Oryzias latipes: one gene and its partner. The main gene of each other region encodes a partner of the protein of the gene in region 2 in a complex. Links are inferred from orthologs where the notes say so. Each region holds a gene or a part of one and is shown on either strand. Other genes may lie near its edges.

Region 1 (3,963 bases), on a different chromosome or scaffold from region 2:
AAAGCTGCAACAATAGGACCGTTTGTGATGACTAAGCTTTTCCTCATCAAAGACTCCATTCACTGATGGTACAGAAAATAGATCGTTATAAAACTCTGGTTTTACATAAAATTCCCAACAGTACTAGAAAAAATAAAATCTCATTTTTAGACAATCTTTCAATCAATAGAAGAGTTTCTGCTTTTCCCTCCACTATGTAGCAGAGGGTTGTAACACTTACAGGCTACGTCTGTTTCAGATGGATCTGGATTTATACGTTATTTGGGTTCTACCATCTTCTTTTTTACAGAAACACCTTAAAACCTCTGATAGTGAACTTAAATAATGTTAGGAAAACGGATCAGATGTAAAACCTGCTGCATCTCTGCTCATGTTTTACTAAAAGCTTCACTTTCTGGATGTTTGTCAATTTGTTCAAATTTACTGTTAATTTTAATCAAACATACTTAAAATCCTTTCAAAAAAGTCCTGTGACTTCATTATTTTCTAATCAACACAGAGGAAAGGCTTCCGGCAGGAAGTGAAGTCCACTTGGCCTCTTGTTAAACTGCAGTGATTATTTTTTTATAGTTAATTTTATGATTCATTTTAAGTATTGAAATCATGGAATTATACAATAAAGAACAGAAATCCAAAATTTAAACAGATTAAATCCATTTCAGATAAAAAGTAATAATTGATAAGAAAAAAGATGTAATGAGATGATGCTATCATATTGACAGTGTGTTTATTCATAATTATAAATAGATGCTTTGCATTAATGCATACAGAACACATGCACGTTACATTAGACCATTAAGATGCACTACCAAGCGTCATTGATTATCAACAAAAACATTAGTTATAAGTTCACACATCCTTATATTTGGGATTTACATGAACACAAAATGACCTGTAAGTCCTCTCATCTCCATATTGAGAAACAAAAGTTTCCTTCTACAATTTCTTGAATTTATGGATATTTAAACATTGTAAGTTGAACACTGATTGAAGGGAAAACCTAATGATATTAGAGTAAAATGTTAAGTATCTATAGTTAGCTTTGATGTCTGATTTATTATTGTTACATTTGTTTTACTAACTGCACTTCGCACACTGCTGTTCTTGGCCTCAACCGCAGGGGGCGCTGTCACAGCAGATGACCGCCAAACACCGGAAACCCCGCAGAAAAAGAAGAAGTGTTTCCGGGTCTCTGTGTCAGGCTGCGCGCCGCTTCTCCGTGTTTTTGTCTTCTTTTTTCTGAAGCCGTCTTTGTTTTGAGGGATTTTCGGAAGCCATCATGTACGACCAGGACGAAGGTGAGGCGCGGATTCCACGCAGCGCCGTTAGAGCTGCGCGTGAACGCTCACGCATGGCGAACGTCTCCTCCATCCATGATCATGATGTTCCATGTTGTTCAACCAAAACCTGTCTGAAGCTTCTTTGCATGCAGCAAGTTTCTGGAACCGGACTTTCTGTAGTTGAACAGACTCTTAAAACCGAGACGCACGTAGTAACCAGGGGGGAAAAACACGCGTGGAAAACGAGCAGACTAGGAAACACGCAAATAACTTTAGTCAGTCCGGCTGGGGGGAAACATTAGCACTTTGTCGCGATATTTTGAAGTATTTTATGCCAAACCAGAAATGTTTGTTCACCAATATGGTCATCATTGAATAGTTGGAGAATTGAAGAAGAAGAAGACTGTTTTCTGGGAATGGGCCCACCACCCTCCCTGGTCAGTGGGATGCTGTGGGAGGTGACTGCCGTGCAGGAGCAGCGCCGCTCCACAGCAGCAGGAGCAGCAGCTGAGTGGCTTTAACATCTGTTCAGTCTGTTTGTTAACCTGTAAACACGCTCACTGATTCTGGTTAAGTGACTGTCCGAATAATCCAAATCTACAATTCCAAAATCCAGATCGCTAGAAATTTCCCAGAAGTCTCTGCGAAAAACCAGTGTGCCTTGATGGTCACTTGATTGGTGAATTTGGACCACAATGCATTGCGTTTGAACAATTTTTCATTTGAAAAAAAAGTATTTAAAGGAATTTCTATTAACCATCATCATGATGATGATGATGGTCATCATCAAACATGTTCAGATTTACGTCATAAAATGTCATATTTGCCATAAAAGAAAAGCAGTAAACATGGCTTTAATTGGCTTTAATAACCAGGGCAATAGATAGTTTTTTAAGTAGTTAGGATGTAGAGAAGGAATATGAACATAAACCCTCACTCCCTCTGTCATGATAACACAGTCATATACAAACAAACCTTTATTTGCAGTCCAGACCGATGACGGACACCCACCAAACTAACTAGAGCGTAACCCTAAGGAACCAACAGCTCAGTGTTGATGACCAGCTGCTGTCAGTTACCTTTAATGTCTTAGTGTGGATGTGGCCTCATCATTTCTGTGTCTGTTAGATAACCAGTATGATGAAGACGATGATGAAATCACCCCAGATCTGTGGCAGGAAGCATGCTGGATCGTCATCAGGTAAGCTCACCTGTCAGGCCCACTGTGACAAAACATGAGTGGGTTTCTGCTGCCGCACACGCAGCAGTCACGCAGTCACCAGAGCGTTCTGCATCAGAAACCCAAACTGCTGTTTAGATAGAGTTCAATAAAAAACAAAGGAAAAGTTGAACCTTTTTCTGATCATCTTTTACACTTTAAGCCTCTTCAGTCATCTCTTTTAATCATCGGTTCTGTGAGTTTCTGGTGCAGGATGTGACGCAGACGGTTCTGATCCGCTGCAGCTCTCCGAGCTCTTCCTGAACTGCTGTCTGTTCTGCAGCTCGTACTTCGATGAGAAGGGTTTGGTGCGGCAGCAGCTGGACTCCTTCGATGAGTTCATCCAGATGTCCGTGCAGAGGATTGTGGAGGACGCGCCTCCCATCGACCTGCAGGCTGAAGCACAGCACACGTCAGGGGAGGTGGAGGAGCCGGTGAGTCTGCGTTGGCTGGTTTGGGCTGCAGGTCCTTCAGTTTTAGTAGGAGCTTCTGATTTTTATGCCACATCAGGGCTCCAGACTAACTTTTTTCACTAGGAGCACTGTGGCCCCTAACTGAAAATTCTAGGGGCGCATACCGTAAATCAACATGCTAACCAAATCTATTCATTTCCACTGTATTACTAATAAATACTTTAATAATAGATGCAGAAATTAAAATGTGCTGTTTCAAATTCAGTGTCACATTTTATTCTTCACTTTTGAAGATGCAACAAGAAGGTAAACTGACAGCACCATCGCTGTCATGACAGTACAAATAGTAAAGAAAACAGATGGAAATTTATCTTTGTGACACCAAATAGGTGCAGCCAAGATGCACAATAAGTGTGTTTGAGATCACCCAGGTGAACTCAACGCTGCACAGATCACCTGGTGTGAGACATATATTTTTGTTTTTGCTCCAACATCAACTGTCAATCATCACAAAAATATCGCGAGAAAGGGGTGGGAGCAAGGGGCAAACCTACCCGGACACAGCTGGAAACTAGAGACTACAAAACAATGCATTATGGGACATGTGTCCTGATGGTTTTTGTAGTGGAGTGATTAATTAAAATAATTTAAAATACCAATTCATTAAAAAGGCTACATACATCACAAAACATTAAAATAATCATAAAATATATAATAACACAGATCATACTAAGGGGGAGAAGAATATTAAAACTAAATTGAATGTTAAGGACAACTCCAACTGTTGTCCTTCAGTCTTGCTGCAGATTCGCCTTCATCTCACAGTGCCCCCCCCCCCCCCCCCCCCCCCCCCCCCCCCCCCCGCCTGGTCTCCCTAACGATCCAGGCGAGGTGCCGGTTCATCTCAAACACGTCTATCGTTGCATTTTCCCCACGTATTTTCAGTGTGTCTAAAACTAATCTTGTTTTTGCTCGAGCGTGTTTAAAGTTCAAGCCCCGTTAGCTGTCACGCATGTAGGTGTGGGACATTTATTCTCCTCAGCTGACCCGA
Region 2 (3,950 bases):
CTCCCCGAGGCCATCCCCATGTCCCACGTTTCCCTGCAGGTACAGGAAGTCTACCCCTTCCACGACGGTTGGAACGTCGCCTGCTTCGTCATCCTCCTGCTCTTCATCCTCACCGTTCTGTCCCTGGCCGCTCTGGCCGTTCTCTACGAGTTACTGGACTGCGGCTGCTGCGCCAAAGGGAAAACGCGCCACCAGTTGCAGCAAGAAAGGTCGGGAAGCTGCAGCAATCTCATGACGAGAACATGCAAGGAGCTGGAGAGCCACACGGAGGTGGTATAGCAGCAGCACAGACAAAGGAAAATGGAAGAGTTTGGGGTTGGGATGCCCAATTTATTGCCAAAACAAGCACCCCTGATACCATAGACTGTCTATTTGCATGCATCCAATTCAGAGGCAAAGAAAAAAATGAATCAATGTTCCAGAGTATTCTGTACACAGAAACGTTTGCCGAGTTAGGGCTTTAAAGACTCATGTCATCTTTGTTTAGTTTTGTGTTTTTTTGCCGTTCTTCTATGGTAAACACACAGTCGTGAATTTGTAGACACAATAAAGGTTTTCGTTTGGCTTCCCACAAACCCGATAAAAGTTGATGGAAATCTTTTCTTTTGGGTTAAAAACATTGTGGTATGATAAAAAAGAATTGTTATAAATAAACATGATTCATTTAAATGGATGTTAAGGCGAGCCGAAAGTTGTAATTGTTTGTAGTGGATGTATAGAAATCAGCTGCCACTCTCATGTTACCAGGTGGAAAATCTGACATTTCTGAAACTTTTTTAACAGATGAAGACGTTTATTTTCCAAAAGCAACTAAATGAAGTGATAAAATCTAGCGTTGGACGGCTGTTGGTCAATGTGGTATGTTGGCATTTTCATGAAGACAAACATAAAAAGACTAAAGAAAATCAATAAAAATGAGATCTAACAAAAAGTTTGGTTAAAGAGTTTGAATTTTCTTTCTCTATATTTCATGATTCTTATGAATCAGTCCTTTCATCCAAAGAATTCTTTTAGGCTTTATTTATATTTACTATAAAAATGTTAGAAGTCATTTTTTGATCTGTGCACACCTTTAAAAAAAAGCAATGACAGCAGAATTTTGACCACTTTGCTTTTCGTAATTATTCAAATATTTGACTCAGAATAACCTATGAGTGACAGATGAATGAGTTTTGATTGCCTAGGTGTTACATCATCCATCCATTAAAAAACAACAACATTTAAACCAAACAAAAGAAAGAAAACATAATCCTTAAAAATAATCTGCCAGTTTCACTCAAAGACCCCCTCCGATCATATTTTGATCTATTGTGAAAGCGTTTCCATTGGTCTTTTACTTAGGAGAAGGTCATTTTTAGCTAAAAATTAAAAAAATCTGGGTCGTTTTTCTAGGACATAGTTTCTGCAGGGTGGCAGTAGTTCATTGGAATTTCACCTGAGTTGCGAGTGGGACCAGCGGCGCTGTAAGGAGCAACCCTACCCCCCCTTCCAGTCATCCATTACTGAGCTCTCTGCATATCCTCTCTCATAAGCTTACAGCCTCTCACACACCCAACCCAACATTGGTGAGCAAACTTAAGGTTTACGCCAGATGGCAGCCCAGGCGAGGAAAACAAAGACGTACATGGATCCATTTGTCTGCAAGTGGGTTTATCAGAATGGAGCGGAGCAGCTTGTGGCACGTCCAGGAGAAGCTCAGTAACCAGATATAAAGCATGACCTACCAGTGCTGTGTTTGGAGCCAGAGGAGCCTTCCTTGTCTAACTTGGGCTTCTTCTTCTTGTGGGATCCAGAGTCTGATGCAGCTGGTCTCTTCTCAACAGCCGGCGTGGAGAGAGCTCTTTTCTTAAACAGCTCCCTCTCGCGAAGCAGAGCTGGATCCATCCAGGCTGGTGGACAAAAGCATGTAAACACAGAAAAGGCTGGATAAAATGCAGTTTTACTAAGCTTCAAACGTTTAAATTAAATATAATTTATGAAATAAATATAATACTGAAACAGTGAGGTGCATCATCTCCATGCATATCTATTATACCTGGTATGTTTACCTGGTTCTTTTCTCAATCTAATCAGTGATGCAGCTGTTTTACTATTTTTTCTTCAAATATTAAGTAGAGCATAAGGATTATTATTAGTAACTAGATTTGATGTTAAAACATTGTCTTGACACGACAGGATTCTGTTCTTCAAAACTACGGTGTTCCATTTGTGCCAAAAATAATTGTGTTCGGTTCTTCTACTGACAATATGGGCCAAAGACATGGAATTACTACATTAACAGTGACCAAAGAAATACACTTAATACAGAAACAGTGGACTAAAAACTCAACTCAAAACATATTTAAACATATATATAACAGAAGTTCGCTGTTTGTCCGATTAGCTTCTTCTTCAGTTTATCGGGAAAAAAAAAACTTCATATAAGCAGCTAAAAGTCATCGAGATGAACCTTTAGAGTCCAGTTTCCCCAAAGAACCGAATCCCGTGACAGCATGACCCACATAACCGCTAATTAATGTTCCCGCATTGTCTAACACCTAATGTGATGCTAATCCTAGTGTTAGCATGTCAACGTTACCTGCTACTGTTGAGTTCTTCTTTCCAGAAAGTGGCGAATAAGTCCCGATAGACTAATTTATAAACTAAAAAGTGAAATAGAAAGACAATTTTAAGCTTAAGTAAACTCAAGCTTACTTTCTAATAAAAAAGTATTATTTTTGTATCCATCATGTAACTGTTTCGTTTAGTGTTCGAGTTGTCGGTTATCGTTATCGTATGTTATTCCTTGGGTGACGTCTTCCGCGTGCAAGCAAAAACCCGCAGCTGTGTAGCTCAACATCGCCACCTACTGGACTGGAGGACAGTCAACTTATTTCAGGCAAGAGAGCTATTTTGGTTAGGGATTCTGAAACTATAGCTAAAATAATGAGTGTTCTGTTTCACAGTTTTTAATTCTTGCCGGAACGTTTAAAAACAATTAAATAGTTTCAGCAAATGTTTCTCCCCCAACATTTTCAGTTTTTAAACTGAAAATTATTGGATATTATTATAACCAACAGTTTGTAATAAGACATTAAAAGTATTATTTCCAACACCTGACTGTAATATGTTCTGTTTTGCATTGTGGTGTGATTGCCATTTCGATTATAAACATAATCTTTACAAGTTTTCTTTGCCAAATTTTGTGCTTTGACCAATAAAGTTTAATCTCATTTCTTGTTAAAAGATGAAACACTTAAGTGAAATGTTAATAAAGTTCCAGGATTTATTTTTGAATAATATTTTTAATTTAAAGCCTTTTTTTTTCTTTTTACTGTAGAGGAGCCTACAGCACGTAGTTACAAAATACATTACGATAGCATACCTTTTGCAGTTCTAAAGGGGTGTAAAGCATTACTATGACATTAAAGTCATTACATACTTAGTAATGAGACGAGAACACATGAACAAAAAAACTCTGCTAAAAATATCTTTATAAACTCATGGTTCATCACTTTTAGCTTAGAAACAATAATTTAACTTTTGATTTCTTGAACAAATGTGTTTATCTTTTTTTTTTTTTTTTTCTTGAAGAAAAAAATGTATCTGATCAGTTATTTTTGACAAAGTGTGGTGATTGGAATCATTATTTAATAGACAGCTCCACTTTTCCTGAGGTAAACAGACCCCTACGGTTCTCCTGTCACTCTGTTATCCATTTAGGTAGATGACTCATAGTTTTATTTTAACAACAAAAAGCTGTGATTCTGCTTCCTGTACTTTCACTTAATGATTATTAAAGCTTATCGCCATTTGTCTTAGAGTGAAATGCTTGACAGTACCTTGTCACTTCCTCTACTTCTGTAGGTCTTACAAAGAACGCTATAAGTAATAATTGATTACGAGTCATAACTTTATAAGTAATAAAGTTATGTAACGCAGTGTAACTCTGACACAGTGACAGTTTGGAG

The links.
Region 1: gtf2e2 (region 2) and polr2b share a complex: the UniProt entries of both Homo sapiens proteins name them as parts of the TBP-based Pol II pre-initiation complex. The link is inferred for Oryzias latipes from reciprocal best matches to the Homo sapiens genes GTF2E2 and POLR2B.

The regions. Positions count from the first base shown.
Region 1 is NC_019868.2:3,851,943-3,855,905, reverse strand, and holds the start of polr2b (DNA-directed RNA polymerase II subunit RPB2), read left to right. Parts: upstream 1-1,163; 5' UTR 1,164-1,279; coding exon 1,280-1,298; intron 1,299-2,408; coding exon 2,409-2,481; intron 2,482-2,782; coding exon 2,783-2,933; intron 2,934-3,963. UniProt on the Homo sapiens protein: Catalytic core component of RNA polymerase II (Pol II), a DNA-dependent RNA polymerase which synthesizes mRNA precursors and many functional non-coding RNAs using the four ribonucleoside triphosphates as substrates.
Region 2 is NC_019859.2:11,937,264-11,941,213, reverse strand, and holds the start of gtf2e2 (transcription initiation factor IIE subunit beta), read right to left. Parts: upstream 2,801-3,950; 5' UTR 2,579-2,800; intron 1,890-2,578; 5' UTR 1,885-1,889; coding exon 1,725-1,884; intron 931-1,724; exon of another isoform or gene 280-930; coding exon of another isoform or gene 1-279. Other genes in the region: smim18 (small integral membrane protein 18), read left to right, coding at 1-279. UniProt on the Homo sapiens protein: Recruits TFIIH to the initiation complex and stimulates the RNA polymerase II C-terminal domain kinase and DNA-dependent ATPase activities of TFIIH. Both TFIIH and TFIIE are required for promoter clearance by RNA polymerase.